Notamacropus eugenii: one gene and its partners. The protein of the gene in region 1 purifies or fractionates together with the protein of each later gene. This does not show direct contact. Links are inferred from orthologs where the notes say so. Each region holds a gene or a part of one and is shown in the gene's direction. Other genes may lie near its edges. The genes, in order: AP1M1, ATG9A and AP1S2.

Region 1 (7,114 bases):
TGAAGCCTTTATAGATTCTCAATTCTGCCCCACCCTGCCCCAGCCCCTACTTCCTAGGACCTTAATCTCAAAAAAAATTATATTGTATTTATTTTGGGTATATACTTATTAATATCTGTGTAGTCTTCCCCATAGAATTGTAGGCTTCTTAAGGACCGGGATTGCTTCATGTTTGTCTCTATGTTCCTGGCACCAAGCTTAGTGCTTTTAATAAATGCTTGTTGCTTGTTGACTGATTGATTGTAGTCAAGGTATAGATGATTTTCCTGGTTCTGCTTTCTTCACTGCACACTACATACAAATATTCCCATGTTTCTCTGAATTCCACATCATTTCTTACAATAATATTCCATTAGATTCACAACCTACAATTTCTTTAGCCATTCAATCACAAAATATTTGCTAAGCACCTACTAGGCACTAGGCACAAGGTAAAACAATCCCTGCTCTCAGAAAGCTTCCAGTTCTATCAAGGAGATGACACGTACATGCAGAAGCATACACAAAAAAACAGCTAACTTCTGAGGGGAAGAGACCAGCAGCTGCAGGGATCAAGAAAGGCTTCTTCTAGGAAGTGGGGCTTGAGCTAAATTTTAAAGGAAATAAGGGATTGAGAAGCTAAGGGGAGAATATGTAATCCTAGTGTGGAGGTAAGTTAGTGAAAAAGGGGGAGAGGGAACAAACATTTATTAAGTGCCTACTATGTACCAAGCACTTGCTAAGGGTTTTTATCAGATATCTCATTTGATTCTCACAACAGCCCTGGGAGGTACATGTGATTTACCCTTATTTTATGGTTGAGGAAACTGAGGCAGACAGAATTAGTGTCTTGCCCTAGGTCACATAGCTAGTAAGTTTCTGAAGCTAGAATTGAACTTTCTGACCCCAATACTTTATCCACTGTGCCACCTGGCCATCTCCTCAGACATTCCTCAGTGGATGTCCATTTTGTTTCTACTTCTCTGCTACCACAAAAAAAAAGTTGTGCTATAAGTAATCTGGTATACATGGGATCTAGCTTCTGCTACTGGAGTTGATAGTGGTGGGCCTGGGCAAGAACTACTTCAAGCCTGAGGATACAAAACCTGGTAATACATCTCCTGCCTTCTGACCTCAGGGCATGGGTTCCTCTCCATCCTTCTCTGTCGAGGAATGAGGCAGCATTTAAGATACTGATTACTAGTTATCTGGGACCAGAGAAGACTGACCTGGTGAAGGACAGAAAAACAGCTTGGGATAAAGGTAAGGGTCTTGTACAAAAGTGCTTGTTTATTTGAATTGAAATGTGGATAGTCACTGGTAAAGATAAAGTTTATTCTGCTGAGCAGGATAAAGGAGCAGGAGTCATGGATCCTATGATGAAGCCTATGGACTCCTTCTCAATCATAATTTATCCAAGTGAGGTTCCACAGGCCTGCCCTCCACACTACTGGGGAGGGTGTGGCTGGTAGATTGCTTGCGCTCAGGTGTTCCGAGCTTGCAGTGGAGCTGAAGTTGATCAGGATATCTACACTATGATCAGCACCAAGATCATGAGCCCTCGGGGCAAGGGAGGGGAGGAGGATGAGGAAGGACACCAGGCTGCCTAAGGAGGGGGTGACCCCGATCCAGGACAGAAATGGAGCAGGGCAAAGAAAGTTTTCCTGCTGGTCAGCAGTGGTCATTGCCAGAACAAGACAGGAGACCCAACAATAAAATAAAAATGTTCTCAAATGCATACAATAAAAAATGTAGGATTACAAAAGAAACATTGAAATAAAAATGTAATTTGTTTCCGTCTAACTTTACAGGCCCTCTGAAACTATCCATGGACTCTGTATTAAGGATCCCTGCTGCAGAAGGGAGGAGGGGAGAGAACAAGTATTAAGCACCTACTATGTGCAAGGCACTATGCTAAGTGATTTTACAAATATCTCCTTTAATCCTCTCCACAACCCTATTACTATCCCCATTTTACAACTAAGGAAACCGAGGCAAGCAGAGGTTAAATGACTTGCCCAGGCTCACACCGCTAGTAAGTGTTTGATGCTGATCCAAGCCCAAGGCTCTCCTCACTTCCCCCCCACACCTCCGCCCCCCTCCCACTGCCTCCACCTCTGGTGCTCTCAGCCACAATGCTGTAGTCACTCGCAGCTCCAGAATCTGTGTTTTCAACAAATATTATGTGGACCCATAATGCAGACTGCTAGGCCGGGAGTCAGGAAGACCCGATCTCAAATGCAACCTTAGATGTTAGGTGTAGGAGTCTGGGCAGGTTATCTGACCTGTTTGCCTTAGTTTCCTCATCTGTAAGACGGGGATGATGATAGCGTCTGCCTCCCAGGGTGGTTGTGAGGTAATAATGGTAAAGTGCTTAGCCAGTGCCTGGCACGTACACAGTAAGTGCTATGTAAATGTTTGCTTTTATTGCCTTCCATATGGGGAAAATTAGAAGTGTAAATGGAAACAGGCCCCTGCCTTCGTAGGGCCCAAAGCCCAGTAAAGGAAATTCAACAATGTAATCTTAGGAGAGAAGTCTACTGGAGAGAGGGCTCTGTGAGGTCTGAGGGGAAGGTGGTGACACGGGGTTCGGGGGGTTTCCAGGACCGCCATGTGAGTTCAGTAAGGGACTGAGCAAGGAATCCAAGTTAAGAGAGCAGTGGGATGGAGCGGGCGATGCAGGGCCTGTCTTTGGACCCGGGAAGACCCTGGGTTCAAATCCCCGCTTTGACACAGGCTCTGTGACCCCAGGCAAGTTTAATGGTCTCTTGGAATCTGTTCTAAGGGCCCTCTTAGCTCCCCCATTCTATGCTCCAGGGGCCTTGTTCTAGGGGCCCCTCCCGGCCCAGATGTTCCCTGCCCCAGGGACCCCTCCCGGCCCAGATGTTCCCTGCCTCAGGGGCCCCTCCGGGCCTGACGTTCTCTGTTCTAGGGGCCCCTCCGGGTCTGACGTTCCCTGCCCCAGGGACCCCTCCCGGCCCAGATGTTCCCTGCCCCAGGGGCCCCTCCCGGCCCAGATGTTCCCTGCCCCAGGGGCCCCTCCGGGCCTGACGTTCTCAGTTCAGGGGCCCCTCCTAACTCTGACGTTCCCTGTTCTAGGGGCCCTCCCGGCTCTGACGTTCTAGTTCTAAGCTGCCCTCCGGCGCCACCGTTACGGATATTATGACTATCTGCGGGGCCTGGCAGGCTCCGTCACTCTCCGTCTCCTCCATCTCCTCCCTCTCGAGGTTTCCCCCTCGGCCCCAGGGCTGGGCCGCCGCCTGAGCTCGCTGCCGCCTGAGCTCTGGGAGGACGCATGGCTTCATCGGAGCTCAGTGCGCCTGCGCCTCGGCGGCGCGCGCACGGAGCGGACGCCCATGCCCTCCCTCCCCTGCGCGTGCGCCAGAGGCCAAAGGCCGTTTCCCAAGCCGGACATAACGGTTCCAGGGCGGAAGTGGAAGTGAGGTGCCGCGGGTCGGGTGCGCCCGCCTGCTCGCCCCGGTGCCGCCGCCTCTCTTGCTGCCGCGCCTCGCCCTCCACCTCGCCCCCTCCCCGCCGCTGCCGCCGCCGCCGCCATGTCGGCCAGCGCCGTGTATGTGCTAGACCTAAAGGGCAAGGTAGGGAAACCTGGCCTCGGTCCGCGCCGCTTCCCCCCTCCGCGTTGCCTGGTAACGGCCCCTCCCCAAGGCAGGGGCGGGGACTTCCCCCACCCGCTCGCGGTCCCTGTCACCCTGTCAGTGTTTGACCGCCGCCTTGCCTGTCCTGGTGGCAGCCCCAGCCCCGGGGCAGCCCATGCCATCCACGAGCACTTTACAGTGTGCCAGGCCCTGGGCTAAACTCTGGGGATACCGAAGATGGGCAAGAGGCAGTGCCAGCTCTGCCGTGGGACCCCAGACGTCGAGCTGGAAGGGGCGTCACGGTTCAGACGCGGAGCATCCGATGGCATTTGAACCCAGGGCCTCCCACGACCCAGCCGGCGCCCTTCTCGCCCCAGCGCGCTCCTCTGGAGGAGGGCGCCGGGCAGGGCTAGGAGAGAGAGAAAATGCCCTGGTGGTAATGGTGCCAAGGTCCACGTTCAGTGCCTTAGAGACGCACAGAGCGAAGGCGCCTGACTGGGCCCTCAGGCCATAGGGATGAGAGGGCAGAAGCCACGGTGCCGCCGCAGGGCGAGGGGCCCTGTCCGACCGGAGCTCCGATGGTGGAGGGGGGAAGAACGCGTGAAAAAGTAGGGTGGTGCCGGGCTGTGGAGGCCCTGGGCTGTGTGGTGAGTGCCGTCCCCCCCGGTGCTGACCTGGCGTCCCAGGCCGCCGATCTTCCAGCCGTCTCCGTCTTAGTGGGTTCCGCCGCGCTTCGGGCCAGCTCTCGTCGTTAGGGTCCAGACTGAAATGGCTTCTTTGCAGCTTCCACGTTGTCCTTAGGTCTCTTTCCTGGGTCTAAACAGAACAAGTATTTCTTCCCAAGTAACTGCCATTCAGATAGTAGAAGACAACCGTCCTATCCCTCCTAAAGCTCTTCTCCAGGCTAAAGAGCCCTTGTTCCTCCAACCAGTCATCCCCTGATGTGCATTCAAGGTCCTTCACAGTTCTTTTTCCCCCTCCCTGGGGCATTTTCCAGCTTGTTAATGCCCTTCTTAAAACATGGCGTGCAAAATCAAACAGTACTCCAAATATGGTCTGACCAAAACAGAGTAAACTCAGCAGAGAATATCTATCTGCTCCCCCTTTCTGAATACCCGTGCTTCTTAGTTTAACATCATTCGGCTGTCCTGTCACCCTGTTGACTCATATATTCAGCTTGCAGCCCACTAAAACCACAAGATCTTTTTCATATGAACTGTTGCTTAGCCGTGCCTCTTCCAGCTTGAGTAGCTGACCTTTTTAAACCCAAGTGGAAGACTTTGCATTAATCTGTTAAATTTCATCTTATTAAATTTAGCCCAGTGTCTTAGACTGTCAAGTATTTTTTTGGATTCCTAGCTCTGCCATTTAACCTATTGGCTGTCTCTCCTAGCTTTGTGCTTTGTGCTTATTTCATAAGTGTGCCATGTGCACCGTTTTCCAGATTATTGATGAAAATGTCCAATATTACAAAGCCAAGCACAGATTCAATGGACACTGCAGTAGAGAGTCTTTTACTGTGCTTTGGGTATGGCCATTCAGCCAGTTCCAAATCCTTCTAATTGTGTTACTGCCAAGCCCATACTTCTCCATCTTGCCTTCAAAAATAGCATGAGAGTCTTCATCAAATGCAGAGAAGTAAACTGTATCTATCACAGTCCCCTGATCTACCCTATCAAAAGAGGAAATGAAGTTAGTCTAGCATGACCTGTTTCTGGTGAAAGTGTGACACTTTGTGATTACTACTTTCTTTTCTAAATGTTCACCACCTGAAGATAGACCCCTTTCAGTGACACATTCTAGAATTTTCTAGGAGTCAAAGTCAAGCTTATTGGACAATGAGTTTCATATTCTACTCTTTTCCCTTTTATGAAAATAAGAGACATTTGCCTTTCTCTAGCCCCAACACCCCTCTTCTTCTGCCTGATCCTTTAAAGATGACTGATAGTGGCTCAGAAATAGCATTCAAAAGTTCTTTCATTAGCCTGGAATGTAATTTACCTGGGCCTGGTCACTTGAACTCATCAAGGGCAGCTAACCACTCTTTCAGTGTCTCTCCATTTGTTCTGTCCTTTCCAGTCCAAAGACCATTCTCCTTAACACAGAAACAGAAGTAAGGTCCTAGTTGAATAATTGTCTTCTCTCCATTCATTATCATTGTCCCATCTACATTGAATACTTCTTAACTCTTTTCTCCAGTATAGCTTTTAAAAATCTTTTTTTGTTGTCCTTAGCTTTCCTTGACAGTCTTAGTTCATTCTGACTTTTAGTGTTCTAGTACCTTTCTTACAGTACTTCAATTTGGCTTAAATAAATTATTTGACATCTTTTTTGATGCTGCATATAATTCCCAGTAAATACCCAACCACATCCCTCCACAAAGTACATTCCCTGGAGAAGAAAAGTAAGTTTATTGATTATTAACAGAAATGTAAGGTGTGTCCTTTAACTTGGGCAGTATTACATTGACCGTTGTTTTTTACCAGAATTTTACTGCTTCTCCAGTGTTAATTGTATTTACTCTCATTGCATATGTTGTTCTTTTGTCTCTGCTTCCTTCACTCTGTATCACTTCATATGAGTCTTATAATTCTCTGAATTCTCTACATTTGACACTCTTTATGGCCTAATAATTTTCCATTATATGCATGTAGAATTATTTGTTCAGCTAGCCAATCATTGGACACATAGTTTGTTATTATAAATAAAACTTTTTTTGTTATTTTTAAATACTGTTAATGAACAGTTTTGGGAGAGTTCTTATCAATTGCCTTTTATTAATAATAGCTGACATTCTTATAGCCCTTTTAAGTGTTACTATACGCCTTATGTAGATTTGTATCGAATTAAAAAGAAATCTCCTCTGCAGAACAGTAGAAGATCCTGTAATCAATCAACAAACATTTATAAAGTATTAACTATGTTCCAGGTACTGGAAATATAAAGACAAAAATGAAAGCCTCTTCCCTCAAGAAACTTACATCCTTTCAGCATATAGTAGTCATTTTGAAATGTTTAATAAAATTGAATGAGTAGATTCAACAGGTATTGTCAGACTTCCTCTCAGGTACTCACTGCTGGCCATCAGTTGTGATGAAAGGGTCTTTCTAATCTAGGTCAGTGAACTCATTAATTCTATCATTTAGGAAAAAACTCTTAGACCTAAGTTAAAAAATAGCTCCCCTCCCCTTCCTTGCTTGTCAGCAAATCCTCACAATCACACCACCATACTTGTCCGTTTAAGTTGTTCATTTTCCAAATGAAGGAGCAGAAGTCCAGAGGGAGGAAGGAGCTCAGAACACCACAGAAGAAGAAGGAGCGACAGAGGCATGACCAGAATCTAGGACTCTAGATACCTAGCTCTTGGGGTCACCTAATAAGTCTGAGGCCTCTTCCATATGAAAATCTTTAGATATTTTGAGGACAGTGATTATGGTCCCACCAAGGTATCTAATGTAGATACTCTTACTTCTTTTACCTAATGGTTTCAGAGAATGGGCTCGATTAGATGATCTCTGAGGTTCCTTCCAGTTTAGATC
Region 2 (7,128 bases), on another chromosome or scaffold:
TCTCCTCTTGGGCAGTAATTCAAACTCACGAAGATCCAGGGTTCCCAGGGTCAACTCTACCAGCTCCAGCTCCACAGGGGAGCTGCCTTCTCCTTCAGACTCTGAAGAAAAAAATGGAGGGTCACATTAGCAGATAGAAAGATATGGTTCTGGCATCTGTGAGCTGCTTAGATGAATGAAAATGTATAAAGATAGATAAACACTATAATTCAGAACATAAAAAAAGAGCACATTGTCAATCATTAATGGTAACTACTATTTTAAATACAGAAACCGCCACTCTACGCTGTGAAGATTGGCCCAGCAAGGACAGAGGAAGAAAGTGACTCATAATAGAGGCAAACCCAGGAGAATAGAAACTAGCAAAATCAAAAGCTCATAGCTTTGTTTTAATAACATCGTGTCAGTAGAGTAGCTCTTGATCAGGGACTTTAAGAAACTTTACAGGAGGTCTACCCTGAGAAGCCAAAGCTTCCCTGGCAGACATGACCCATCTCTATTGTCTCTCCCAAAGGAAAGCACAAATTTGAGTTGGGAAGTTAGTGATCGAAAAGTATCTGCACAGGACTGAGTCCAATATATGCAACAGAAAAATAGATATCCTCATGGAAAAAGAGGAAGATGAACTCAAATTTTGGTACCTTTTTGAGTGAAACACCTGGAAAAGAAGAGTTCTTTGAGGCATGAGAAAAACTCTACTTCACAAGGAGAGACTCACCACTCAGCCTAATGACCTCATCATCATTACTTGGACCCTTCTGACTGGTGGTCTTCTTTTTCTCACTTTTCACTTTCCAGTCTGTCTGAGGAGAATCCAATCTGGTCATTTCCCTTGGGTCTTCTCCTGTACCAAAACAGAAAGCTGTGACCAGTAGGCTCCCTAGTAGGCTCAGTTAGAAGAAGGAATACCAAGGTCCTCACCATGAAGATGTGGCTGGGGAGCCCCATAGGCACCAAATGGTTCCCTTTTACCAGAATTTGGGTCAGAAAGTAGGAAGAAATAACCTGAAGATCTGGGCTAAGCTCTCACCATGAATGTGCACCATGGCCAGCACCTGAAGTACACGTTGAAGCTCTCGAAAGGTGGGTCTACGGGTAGCAAGGGGAATATCCCACAGACGGGGATCCCCCCGGTGCAGTGGTGCTTCACGGCCCCCGAAGAAGAGAGCCTGGCCAGACCGGGGAGCTCGAAGCAGTATAGTCCCTGCCTCCCCCAGTGGCCCTGCCCAGCCTGGCCCTGCCAGCAGCTCTCGAACCTCCTAGAAGAGACAGCAGCTCAGCTCCACAGGCTATGTTCCATCCTCCAGCCAGGCAGTGACTCAAGAATCATAGATTGAGGGAAGACATAGGAGGGTTAAAAATTAAAGGGAGTAATGCCCCTGGAGATTTCCACTCTAAAATTTCTTCTTAGGAAAAAGCAATGTTGGTAATTATTTTTAAAAAAAGGGGGAGTGGGGGCAAAATCCTTCCTATTCCACTTATGTTAGAAGAAACTAAATTGAGGGAGAAGAAAATTTTGAGAAAAGATTCTGAAGGAGCTTCATGACCCACCTTGTATAGTGCAGCTTCGTTGTAGCGCCTCAAGTTGGCTCCAGCAGAACGAGAACCTCCAACACGGGCATCCTGAAGTCCCTGAGCTGTCCCCTGCCGTGCCCGGACAGTGTAGCGGTGAAATGTTTTGTGTGTCACTACTTCTCTCCTACAAACAGTATATTCAGTCCTGAAGGTGAGAGGGCTTTTCTGAGAAACTAATCCTGCACTCATCTCAACACTCTGTTCAGTTTTTGCTTATTACCCTCTGAAGACAGCACCAGCAAAGTGACCAGCTGCAGCCATGAGGACCACACAGCACTGAGGACCCCCACCCTGTAGGGTCTGCAACAGCAATTCTGCCTCCTTGGCGGGGTCCTACAAAGATAAGGAAGAAAACATTAGCTCAACCTACTGTATCTTCTGCAGTCTGCTCTCAGAACTTAATAATTCACCCTTAGTAGCAACTAGGTAGTACAGTATAGTACTGGCCCTGGAGTGAGGAAGACCTGAGTTCAAATCCAGCCTCAGACACTGTATGACCTTGGGAAAGTCGCCTAACCTCTCTCAGCCTCAGTTTCCTCATCTGTAAAATGGGGATAATAATACCATCAACCTCCCAGGGTTATTGTGAAGATAGATATATTTGAAAAAGCTTTGCAAACTTTAAAGTGCTATACAAATGCAAGCTATTATTATTACCATGCCACCATCAAAGTACAGACTATCTCAGGTCTAGGGAACCTTTGGCCCTCTAGGTCCTCAAGTGCAGCCCTTTGACTGGGGATTTGTTCTGTGAGGTTTTGATATAAAGGGCCAAACTTGAGGGCCTAGAGAGCCTCGTGTGACCTTGAGGTAGTAGATTCCCCACCCCTGGACTAGCTCAACCCATGGCACTTGTTCCCATTTTTAGCACAGTGCCTGGCACACAGCAGGTGTTTAATAAGTGTTTGTTCTATCCATCCAAACTCAGGGAAGAGGTGAGAGACAAATGTACAAAATGGAAGTCTAGGCTAGAGGGGACAAAAGAGTTGGAGCAAACAAAGAAACTGAGGAGGTTACTTGCCTGTCGAGGACCCAGGAGGCATCGAAAGGCAGAGAGGAACTGGCCCTGAGCATTACAAAAGAGGACACGGTGTGGGTGAAAGCCACGGTGGGAGTCTGGTCTCCTTAGCTCCACCAGCTCCTCCAACTTGGCCTTTTCTGCCTCGGAGTCCCAGTCCGAGTCTTCTTCTGAACCCGAGATACTGGAAAAGTCTCCTGGGGACAAGGTGGGGGGACTCATGTCATACCCCTCACCTTCCCCAAATTCCCTGGCTGAACCCCTCCACGGGCTGTACCTGTCCCCACTGGTCACCTGAACAGCTCTGCTTCTCAAACTCGTGGGCAGACAGGGGAGGCTGGCCCCTGAGGCGCTGCTTCAGGTTAAAACGATGCCAATCCAAAGTGTAATGCTCCCTCTGGTGGAATGCAGACTCAGCATGAGCTCCAGCCCACCGGCCCCTGCCCCTGCCCAGTCCTGCCCCGCGCACTGCAGTCCGATCCGGGTACCTGATCCTGGCGGCTCTGGAAGGACTGGATGCAGGCCGAGCAAAACATGCGATCGGAGACTTCAGCGTGCCCCTTGGGGACCTCCTGTCCCCCGGGGCTGGTCTCCTTCTCGGAGTCTGGAATGAAGGGAAGGAGAGAACCTCAGGGGCGGCCAGGGCCCACTAAAACCAGCGGGGCCAACTGGATCTCCAGCCCTTTTTGCCACACCCACACAAGGCCATGGCTTTGCGGGTGTTCGGGAGGGGCGCTGCCCACGGACAATCTTAAAATCCGAGCACTGTGGCTGCCGGCAGTTCAGGGGGAATTCTGTAGGTTTGCCGAACAAAAACAAAACCCCAGCGCACCCGCGTGGTAACTTCAGATGACCGCGCAGAGTAAGTTCGCCGCGCTCCCCGGGGGATCCTCCCCGGGCAGTCACAGAAAGGCCGAGGCCCACGGGGGAGTCCCTCCCACACCGCCCCTCCCCGGGGCCCTCGGCTACCTGGACCCGCCGGGGCCCGGGGCAAGGCCGCGCCCTGCGCCCGGCCCACCAGGCGTAGGCCCTGCAGGAGCGAGTCGCCTGCCCTGAGGTCAAACACGGACACGGAGGCCTGAGGCTGGGCTCGAACTGGGCCGGGCGGCATGGCGGCGGCGGGCGGGCGCCTCGGCTTCCACGTCCAGCAGTCGGGGCGCGACTGAGACCCCCGGCCACCTGCGCGTTACCAGGGCGACTGGCTCCAGCGGTGACTGCACAGTGTCGGTGCGGCCCACGGGAAGGCCCTCGGCGCCGAGGCCGTCTCAGTCCCGCTCAGCTCCCAGAAACATCACCTCGGGTCCGTCACTACGGGGCCCCAAGAAGGACATTCCGCGGCGCCGTCTCTTAGCCTCGCCCTCTAAGGAGCCTTGTATTGGTCCCACTAAAGCTCCACCCGCTACGCGCCACATGTCCCACCCCCGCAGCAAGGGATTGGTTGTCGCATCTCCACCCCCTGTAGTCATTGGTCCGACTGGCTGCGGGAGACAATGAGTGGCATCCGCCCGGCCTAGTGCTCGGGTTGGGGCCGGAGTCGGAGCCCTGGACGCCAGCACTTCCACCGCTGCCTGGGCTTAAGGAGGAGCAGAGGACCGGTAACCGGCGACGGGGGGCCTGGGACAGGACGGGGCGTACGTGCCCACTGAGCCTGGAACGACCGAGGCTGGAGGGGGGGAAGTTGTGGGGGAGGAGAAGCGGGGGCGCGGTAACTGGGGGGAACCGGGCGGGGACGCGCGCTCCGGGTGTTTTGATCACTGGGCACACGCGGGCGGGGGCGCGCTCCGGGAAGGGGGCGGGAGGTGGGGGTCCGGGAGCGCGCGGCCAGTTGTCCGCGACCGAGCGGCCCGGAGGCCCAGGAGCGGCCATGGGAAAGGCCCCTCCTCGTCGGGCTTGTAAGGCCAAACCGGGAGGGAGCCGGCCCCGGGGAAACCTGACCCCGTGGTTGCGGTGACCCTGAGGCTGAGCCTGCCAGCCCCAAGTCCGCTGACTCTGGGTCTGCTCTGGCAGGCATTGCCGGGGCCGTGGGAGGGTCGGCCGCCGTCACGATCTAGGGAATAGGGAAGCCTATTCCAAGTGGGCTTCGCGTTAGCCCCGTATGGGTCTGGTCTGAGGGCTCCTAGAAGGTCAGTTAATAAGGGTCAGGAGAAGAGGCAGCCTGGGCACCCTGACCTGGTGCTCCTAAGGCGGGTAGAACGTGTTCTGGGGCCCCGAAGCTCCGAGTAGCTAGCTGGGCTGTCCACATAGCCGGAGGAAGTACTTACCACCACCACCAGTGCCCAGCTGGCCTCATCTTGGGGTGATCTGCCCTTAGTTTCATTTTCCTCTGTTAGTCTCATCCCTTCTCCCACCTCCATTGTCTGCCTAACACCTCCTCCTGCAGCTGCAGAACCACTTGGGCATCCAACAGTGGAGTGGAACAAATGCTGTCCATGGAGCTGGTAGGTGCCCTGAGAGTTATATAAACCCTTTGTTCACGACGTGCTTCCTTACCAGTGATTAATCAATCAATCAAGCACAATCTGGATTGCCTCTTTTATTCTTATAAAAGACTGGGATACCTTCTGCTAGAGGAGGGGGAACATGAATCATCCCCTTAAGTGAAAGTGAAACTCATTCCCACTTGACAGGCCACACCTAAAAATCATCCGTATCCTAGCAAAGACCAGTAAAAACTCCATAAAGTCTTGTTGAATGATTTAGCTGAAGCTAGGAATCATAACTCCTAAATCAAGGCTACACAATAAAGCCCCATTCCAAAAGGAAAAGCTGGTGACAAAGATTGAGTTGAAAGTCTTTCCACTCTTTGCTCATGTGCTGAATCAAAAATAGCCCCCGTTTTTCCCTTATTCTTTTGAGGTGGACAAGGCAGGTAGGCGGTGGTGATGGCACAGTTTGACACAGAGTACCAACGGCTGGAGGCCTCCTACAGTGACTCACCCCCTGGAGAAGAGGACTTGCTAGTACATGTCCCTGAGGGCAGCAAGTGTGAGTCCCTGGAAAGAGGATGTTGGGGCAGTTTGGGATGTCCCTTAGTGGGCAGGGAAGGGATGTCCTGACTTCCTTCTCCTTATTTCCACAGCCCCTTGGCATCACATTGAAAACCTTGACCTCTTTTTCTCTCGGATATCCTTTGTTGTTGTTTACAGGAGAGGTGACTGTACCCAAACTCAGATACTCTCTAAGCAAAGTCCTGAGAGGGTAGGGGGGAAGTAGGGATGGGATTGAGACTGTACTCCTAGGAACAAAGATGGAGAATACTGAAGGGTTAAGAGGGACTAAGGAAGATGTCCTTATTGTAGGGTGTTTGGGACCTACCTTCTTTATGGGATCCTAGGCCCTCACCTATCCCAAGTGCTTTCTTAACGGCCACACGTCTATAACCTGCACCAGAAGAATGGCTTTACATGCATGCTCATTGGGGATGTGTTTGAACTCATGTAAGTAGACTGAAGGGGGAAGGGCTTCATCCTCCTGCTTCCATTTCAGTGATTTCATATAGGTCATTGAGCCTAAAGAAGCGGATGTGGCCTTGAGTTGGGGCCACACTTAGCTCCTTTCTGCCTCTTTCTCAACAAAAGCCTATCCTTCACCTCCCACATGTCCTTTTAATTTCCTTTATGTCTCACTGTTGTTTCCTCAACACCAGGAGACACCCAAGCACCTTCCTACTTCTTTTTCTCTTAGGCAGTTTCTCTTTGTGGTGGCCTTTACCACCTTTCTGGTCAGCTGTGTGGATTATGACATCCTCTTTGCTAACAAGATGGTGAATCACAGTCTGCACCCTAGTGATCCTGTCAAAGTCACATTGCCAGATGCCTTCCTGCCTGCCCAGGTGTGCAGTGCCAGGTAAGGACCCAAGGTGATAAAAGTGCTGTTAAGTTTCACTTGTTATTTGGATAATGTGCATTAGCTGGAGGAGACAGCAAGCAGCTTCAGGAATTCAAAATAGCATTTTAAGCTTAAGAGACTTTTTGTCCTAACTATGGAAGACCCTGCTGATAACAGAAAGACTGCTACACCTTAGTTGATATTCCTTTCCTTTGAAGGTGCCCTTTTTCTGTAAATTGCTTTTAATGGATGACATTGTATTTCTCTTGTATGTAACATATATAAACTTGCCCTTTGGGAAGAGAAGTTTTAAGTCTAAATGTCAGAGAGAGTGTGTGTGTGTGTGTGTGTGTGTGTGTGTGTGTGTGTGTGTGTCTGTCTGTCTGTCTGTCTGTCTGTGTGTCTGTGTGTGTGTGCCCAAGCACATTTTACTTTGGTTTCTTAGCACAGCTCAGTACATGTTGAGGCTAAAAATGGTGGCTGCAGTGGCTACTGTCATACAGTCAGTTCTGGGGAACATGTGTGTGTAGGATGCCAGCCTGACCTTCGAACACAAGTTCAGGTGTAGCAACTGGCTTGCAGAATGGCCTTTGAGGGCAGTCTGTACAAAAGTTAGGCAGGCAGGTGGGTCAGGGTGCCTGTTCCCCTCCTTACCAGGATCCAAGAGAATGGCTCACTCATCTCCATTCTGGTTATTGCTGGCGTCT
Region 3 (7,273 bases), on another chromosome or scaffold:
CCCTGACCTATTGTAATCAATTTATCATGACTTTCCCCCCAAGAGTTACAACTAAATAGAACCCCTATCCCATTATATTCTCATTGAGAATTTAACATTAAAATTTTGCACTTTAAATGAAAAAACTCTAGCTATTTGAGAAACACCAACTACTTTGAGTTCATGGCAAGGAGATAAAATGATTTCTGAAAGAATTTTTAGTGAGATTTTTTTTCCAGTTAAAGTTGATGAGTAGAAAATATACCTTAATGACCTGACAAATAAATACGATGTTTAGAGGGATGAAACATGTATTTTATAAAAGCCCACAATTTGGAAACCTTTGGATCTAAAGGCAAGCGGTTAATTACTAACAAACTAGTGCTTACAGCCTTCACAGTGACTGCACAATTAGCAATTAATATTGTGACTAGGGAATGAACTACACACAATCTACTGAAAAGACCATCTGCTTCTTTAAATTGTGTTCTTTATTCTTGCCAATAGAAGACCATATTTTTTAAATGGCACTACCCCTTATAATTGCTGGGTTGTTTGCAGTTGTGTTTGGCTATTAGGATTTAATAAGCCATTGTTTCAGTGGTATAAAAAGGTTATGTAATGGTTAGACTATTTTCATCTACAAATGCCATTTTCTTATTTTCATAGACCTACAAATGTATCTACACGCACAAAAAAAACCACGTTTATTCTTCCCCAACGTGTCAGAAGTATTACTAATGATTTTTATATTTGAAGGTAGATAACTCAGGATGTTTTGCTAAAAGAAGAATCTCCTCTGACTACCGGGAATAAAAAAGGCACATGCAGATGGGTGTACCCGTCCACGGGTTAACAACACATCCTAGCAGAGGACAGTGGTCACAAAGGGGGAGGCACAGAGGGAGGGTTCCCACCACCGAATTTGTGGAAAGGAAACTTCCTCAACTACAAGCAGATACATAGACCGAACTGGGAATTCGGCTGATCCCCTTCACACAGGAAATAGCAAACGTGCGCCCGGAGGAGCTGAGATCACCCGGGGCACCCCACGGCGCCGCCGGCCCGGGACTTTTCCTGCATTCTCACTGCAATACGAACCTCACGGAGAGGGTGATCTCCCCCACCCCCCACCTAGACTTGTACTAAGAACCACCAAGCAAAACCTAGCGTAAAAGGCAGGTACAGATCGCATGTCCACTTGCCGGGGGAGGGTGTTCCCCTCGCTTTCTATTTAGTAAGGACGGAGGCCAGACGAACGGCTGTTTCATTTCCAGCCCTCTTGCTTCCCCTCCTCGGAGACACCACTCCCACTTCGGTCCCCTCCACCCACGCCCAATCCCTGGAGCCCCGCCTAGTAGTCACGCCCGACCCAGGACAAGTTCCTAAGTGCTGGGTTCCCTCGCAGAACGCCTGGTGATCCATCAGCTTCCTCCCTTCCTCCCGCCCATCATCAGCTAAGCTTCTTTGGTCGATTCTACTTTAAGGAAAGCTACACTGCACGTGCGCGCGTCCCACTGCACCCCGCTCAGCCTGGACGCTGGGGTGCATCTCTAGCTCTCGCCGAAGACCATTCGGGAGCCGCTTTCTTCCCTTCCCCGCCTCCCGGCTTGGAGTATGGCTAGTCGCTTGGTTTTTTTCCCCACCTGCTCCCCCCCACCCCCGCCCCTCCACCAGGGAAGGAAACAAACAAGCCAGCGCGCGGCTCCAAGCGAAGCCCCGGACTGGAGGACGGGGAGCATGAGCCCGCCTCCGCGTGGCCGCGGACTGCGTTACTGCGCAGGCTCAGTAGCAGCGGGGTTCTGAACCTGAGCAGCAGGCTGCCTCATCTCTTCCCAGTCAGTGCCCGTACAAGTAACTGTACAGCACTCAGCCTACTCGGCGTTATGGTACTACTGGGGCGGGGGGAAGGAGGAGGAGCAGAAGGGCGGGGAGAGAGAAGGGAGGGCCAGGGGAGAAGAGGAGGGAAGGGAAAGAGCGCGCACATGCGCCGCCCGCCGGTTAGGCAGTGAGAGGCGAGGGAGGGGGAGGACTGCTGGGGGACAGGCTCCGTCCACGAAGCCGTTTCCGGGTCACGTGCGCCCGTTTCCGGCGCCCAACGGCGGAGTGGCGCAGCCCGCCCGTTTTGCAGAGGGGCGGGGGGGGGGGCGGGGGTTGGTGGTGTAGGGGGGAGATCCGGGAACCGGTTATCCCGGTTCCGCTCACCCCGCCTCCTCTCTCCAGCCCCCGCCCCGAATCCCCGGGCTCCTCCCTCGGCCGGCCCCTTGGGCGGGGCCTCCCCCGCCCCTCTCCCTCTGTCCTCTCCCCACTCCCCGCCTGCTTGGCTCCCAGACGCTCGGAGGGGGCTTTTCACTTGGCGGCTGCTGCGGGCTCTGAGAGCTGCGGGCGGCCACCGCGCTTCCCTCCCGTCTGAGGCCACAGTAAGTGTGTGTGTAGGGGGGGACTCCTCGTGGGAGCGGCTGTCACGTGGGGGGAGAAGTGTCGCCCCCCCATCGTAATATTGTCTCCTGTCGCGCGCGCGCGTGGATCTCGAGCAGAGACTTCCCGGAGTGTCTTCTCCCTTCCCCGTGGACCGCACCCCTAAGGTGACCCGTCAGGGGGGGTGGGGTGGTACACGGTGCACCCCCTCAAGCCTCCCTCCAGCTTCCATCCCGGAGAAGAGATGGGGAGCGGACGCATGACTTAATCCTGCTCCCTTTTGGGGGGGATTGTTGTGTTTGGGTTGTCTCGGGCACTCGTGGCGAGGAGCGAGCGGAGTCGCTTTACCTAACTCGGGGTCCTTTCCTGGCGCCCCCGGCAGGAGGGGATTCCCCTCTGTCCGCTCGCCCTCTCCCGGCGGGCAGAGGAGATGGATTGTCTCTGGCCGAAATGGACTTTCCCTGCCCAGGGATGGCGAGTCGGGGGACCCGGGCAGGGGGAAGTAGGGTCCTCGCGAGGGGCACGGAGCGCGGCCGCGGGCCATTGTCTCTCCCCTTCCCCTCTCGCCCTCCCTGCCTGGCGCTCCTGGAGCGTCTTTTCTGACTAAAGGAGAGCTGTGACTCCAGGAGCGTCTTGGCCATCCTCAGTCTAACAGGCAGCCCTGCCCGCCCCCTGGAAAGCACTCTTCCTCTGCCTTTCGCCTTATGTATTTATTTAAGGTCCCGGGGGTTGGTTTCACCGAGGCTCGGGCAGGTAGAGCCCCAGATTTTCAGGTAACTCGTCTTATGGGAGGATAAGTGATTCATCCAACGTGAGAAGTCGGAGTTGTGGCCACGGGCTCCCCCTCCCTCCAGCGGGCAGTCTGCACTTTGCGTCTCAATAACACAAGATCTGGGGAAATGGAATCCGTTCTATTCCTAGTTCTTCAGCCGCTTTGAGATTGGACAGAGTCCGTCAGTTTTCTTTTACGTGGAAAGGTGTACAGTCTTTGTATTATTAGCCCAATGATTGAATTAATAAATACGTTGTGGTGTCGTCCTCGTTTGGGAGGAGCTTTGAGATCCTTGGAAAAGTATTTCCATTAGCGTAGTGCTTGACCTACAGTAAGCGGTTCATAAATATATTGCAGTCCTCCTTTGTGAGGAGCTTTGAGATCTGTGGAAAAGTGTATTAATGTTATTAGCCCAATACTTGACTCATAGTAAGCGTTTAATAAATGCGTATGGACTGTTGGACTGTGTTTTGTTAAATGAGGGAGGATTGACTTAGGTTTTAATTGGTTGAATAAGATTAACCCAGTCAAAAATGTAAGACATATTTGATTATTTATAATTTTGCAAATTATTTTTTACAAAATCGAGAAAGGGCCCATTTCACAATAAAGAAATATGTTTAAAAAGTCAGCATATTATGAATGTTAGGGGAAAAATCCAGAATTACAATTGTACTTGAAATGTTAACACGACTATAAAAAAGATATTGAAAAATTACATATGAAATATGTTATTTCATTTATTCAGTATTTCCTTATTTGTAGTTTAAAAGTCAAGTTTAACTAAAATAAGTTTTCCTGAAATAATAAATTTTTAAATGGTCACAATTTTATTTGCAGACCCTAACTAAGCATACAAATATCAAATACTTTAAAAGGTAGCATTTGTGTATATATGATTTTGATTTTGATAATACAGTCATGCCCCAGTTTGGCACAGTGTGTGTTGTTTTGAATTTTTATAAAATGAATATGAGAAGAGAAATTTTGTCTGAAAGTATGGTTGATCTTTCATATTTTTATTTCTGTTAAAAGATACCAACTGAAATGTTAATTTGTCTTGAAAAGTGCCATCCGGTTGGGACAAATAAGGTATTATAAGAGAAAACAAACATGTTTTATATGACTACATCAAATGTTACTAAAACATGTTATTCTTTGCCTCTTTAAAGCGTATCAAAGGTGATGGTTTCCTGCTCTAACCATAATTATAATAATTTTTAAATTTTCAATTGCATTTCTGAGTTTGTGTGTGTGAGAGAGACAGCTCTGTGAATGATTTATTTTTATTTTTTAATTTAGTGTGGATATTATGATAATCATGTATCAATTTACTTTCTCTCTGTTCTGTTATAATGGAGCTTGTTAAAAGCTACATTGAAAAAATGTAGCTTTATCTCAGTGTGTGTAGAATCTGAAAATAAGATTTGATTTGTTTATTTTACCAGATGCAGTTTATGTTGCTTTTTAGTCGTCAAGGAAAGCTCCGACTCCAGAAATGGTATGTTCCACTGTCGGACAAAGAAAAGAAAAAAATCACAAGAGAACTTGTTCAAACAGTTTTAGCCCGTAAACCCAAAATGTGCAGTTTTTTGGAGTGGCGAGATCTGAAGATTGTCTACAAAAGGTATAATTTTCATTTTTCAGAAAGTTGCAGTAGGAGACCAAATGTTATTTAGTTCATAATAGTAGTCAAATATGAATGAAAAGTGACTTACGGACAATTATACAAAGAGGAAGACCACTTTTGTAATTAGAAATTCTTAAAGTAGACTTAAAGTGATGAAACCTTAGATGAAGTAAACTATAATATGCCTCCTTTGATGCAGAATTGAAATGACAAATCAGGAAATACTTTTAATAGATGATTCTTTCAAAGCTTAAAAATAGCTTTAATGATGAGTATACTCATTTATAAATTTATTAAGTCTTCATACATATTAACTTTTAGAAAAAGTAAATAATCATTACTCACATTTAAATAGCATTTTAAGAGCTGCAAAGCTATTTTTCTTCAACAACCCTCTAAGGTAGGTAGGACAACTATTACCTATATTTTATTGAGGTTTTTGAAAAGACATACCTTGCTTATTATCACATAGGTATTAAATGTCCAAAATGGGATTTGAACCCACTAGTATACACTGTTTAGTTTAGGCATTTTTTAAAATGTCATCTGGTTAGTAAAATTGGAATAATAATTTTCACTGAGGTTCGCCTAGACAGGTAACTAAAATACTGAGCATCAGATTTAAACTCTGGTTTGTGTTTAAAAAGCTTTTCAAAATCTGACTCTAACCTACCTTTCCTGGTTAATTATACATGTTCTTCTTTCATGTACCCGTAGGTAGGTCCAGTCAAACTGGCCTTGCTTTTGCTTACATACAGCATTATTTAAGGCCTGCTTCCATACCTGTCTCTTCCAGCCCCCAAAATACCTGGGGTTCATACTTTTCTCACTTTTGCATCTTGAAATTGTGTCTTTCCTGAACCCTGCCTGGTTGCTCATTTCTCCCTTCCTATTTCCTGAGGGAAAAAAGAATCTTTTATGTATTTTGTCAATACTTAGACACATGCATATTGTCTCCCCCGTAGAATGTAAGTTCATTGAAGGCCGGAACCTTTTTGGGTTTATAGTTACAGCACTTGACATAAAAGCAAGCTGATCATTTGAGACTGATTTTTGTCACACATCTTATATCTAAGCCTTTTCAGTCATATTGATGTTTAAAATTCTTGTTTATTTGAGACAAAGCCCACTTTGTTATTAACAAAGTTAATGCACGTTTTGCAATATCAAAAATGTGGCGAGTTACGAAGTAGTTTCATCATAGGAAGATGTTGAAGTTTGATCTCTATGAAATAACAACTGAAAATTACTCTTTATAACACGATGAGAAATATATTTTTTAATAGTAACATTTACTTCTGTGGAAAGTATAGTAGTATAATTATATTGAAACGAAAGTAATATTTCTCATAACTGTGAAATAAATTATTTTTAATCTGTAGACTTTGATTTGGGGTGTTGATTTCACCTTGTTTCTTTTCCTTTAATAATTTCATTCTTATGAAGTAAAATAACTTTACTGAGCAGAATAAAAAAGAAATATTTCAGTATTAGACAAACATTTTGTAATATGGAAAAAAAGAACTGATAATATAAAGTTTTGAAATCAGAAAGGGAAAAAAGATCAATTTTCTCCATTCCTTCTCTTTTTTAAGCATTTAAGATTGTATAAAAAGCAATTCAAAACTAGTGGTAGATGAATTTAGAGGAAAGTAAAACTGCATTCATATTATTTTGTAAAAATTGGATTTAGTGATCAGTTCTGACCTTTTGTAAGCAGTATTATTTAGAAAGAATAGAATTTTGAAATGGAAGGGACCCTAGAAATCATCCAGTCCATTCTTTCTGCCTCCCAACTTAGTGTACAGATGAGGAAACTGAAACCTCTACAAGTTGTTTCTTTTTTGTCTTTGTATCACCAGGCCTAGGTTACTATAGTGCCTTAATAAATGTTCATAGAATGACATTGTTGAGATTTGCCCAAGTTATGAAGAACTCAGGTCTCTTTAATACCAATTTAATGCGCTTTCCAGATAGTTTGGTCTTATTAATAATAACTTTATTGAAAGTTAGGGAGAAAGCATCCAATTGAATGTGTAGCCTGTGGTGTGAAAATTGATTCAATCCTTTATATTCACCAGATAGCCCATGTATTTGAGAAGTTTATGAAACTGAATAAGCTAATAGTTGGATGTGGGATATTATAATATCTATTACATGAATCTAAAAAGCAAAATGTTGGTAGGTTGAAGAACTAAACAATGATAGATGGTGGGACAAAAGAACTGAACTCAGTTCTAGTTTTATTAGTGGACTAGCTGTTTGATTGAGCAAACTTCTTTATCTGTATATTTCAGTTTCAAACTCACTGGCCAAAGTCTCATTCATTCATTTTCCTCTCTCCTTCTCCTTCCCTTCCATCCCCCATTACCTGTTTCTGTTAATGATACAACAGTTCAAGTAACTCCTGAATTGGAATACAATAGAAGCAACTCCACATTCACCTCCTATCCATCCTTCTTTTCTTTGTTACC

Evidence for each region.
Region 2: the proteins of AP1M1 (region 1) and ATG9A purify together in Homo sapiens (affinity purification with western blotting, with the first as the bait; 3 studies listed by BioGRID). This does not show direct contact. The link is inferred for Notamacropus eugenii from reciprocal best matches to the Homo sapiens genes AP1M1 and ATG9A.
Region 3: the proteins of AP1M1 (region 1) and AP1S2 fractionate together in Homo sapiens (co-fractionation; 6 studies listed by BioGRID and IntAct, counting the BioPlex papers as one, with this or other methods). This does not show direct contact. The link is inferred for Notamacropus eugenii from reciprocal best matches to the Homo sapiens genes AP1M1 and AP1S2.

Annotation. Positions count from the first base shown.
Region 1 is NC_092875.1:59,288,145-59,295,258, forward strand, and holds the start of AP1M1 (AP-1 complex subunit mu-1), read left to right. Parts: upstream 1-4,114; 5' UTR 4,115-4,153; coding exon 4,154-4,222; intron 4,223-7,114. UniProt on the Homo sapiens protein: Subunit of clathrin-associated adaptor protein complex 1 that plays a role in protein sorting in the trans-Golgi network (TGN) and endosomes.
Region 2 is NC_092877.1:317,720,536-317,727,663, reverse strand, and holds the start of ATG9A (autophagy-related protein 9A), read left to right. Parts: upstream 1-4,097; 5' UTR 4,098-4,188; intron 4,189-4,923; exon of another isoform or gene 4,924-4,973; 5' UTR 4,974-5,031; intron 5,032-5,449; 5' UTR 5,450-5,475; coding exon 5,476-5,578; intron 5,579-5,672; coding exon 5,673-5,716; exon of another isoform or gene 5,717-5,744; intron 5,745-5,892; exon of another isoform or gene 5,893-5,965; coding exon 5,966-6,030; intron 6,031-6,277; coding exon 6,278-6,439; intron 6,440-7,078; coding exon 7,079-7,128. Other genes in the region: tRNA endonuclease ANKZF1, read right to left, coding at 1-101, 719-844, 1,031-1,259, 1,552-1,699, 1,796-1,908, 2,597-2,790, 2,888-2,990, 3,082-3,197 and 1 more. UniProt on the Homo sapiens protein: Phospholipid scramblase involved in autophagy by mediating autophagosomal membrane expansion. Cycles between the preautophagosomal structure/phagophore assembly site (PAS) and the cytoplasmic vesicle pool and supplies membrane for the growing autophagosome.
Region 3 is NC_092876.1:374,165,584-374,172,856, forward strand, and holds the start of AP1S2 (AP-1 complex subunit sigma-2), read left to right. Parts: upstream 1-4,187; 5' UTR 4,188-4,216; coding exon 4,217-4,261; intron 4,262-4,617; coding exon 4,618-4,796; intron 4,797-7,273. UniProt on the Homo sapiens protein: Subunit of clathrin-associated adaptor protein complex 1 that plays a role in protein sorting in the late-Golgi/trans-Golgi network (TGN) and/or endosomes.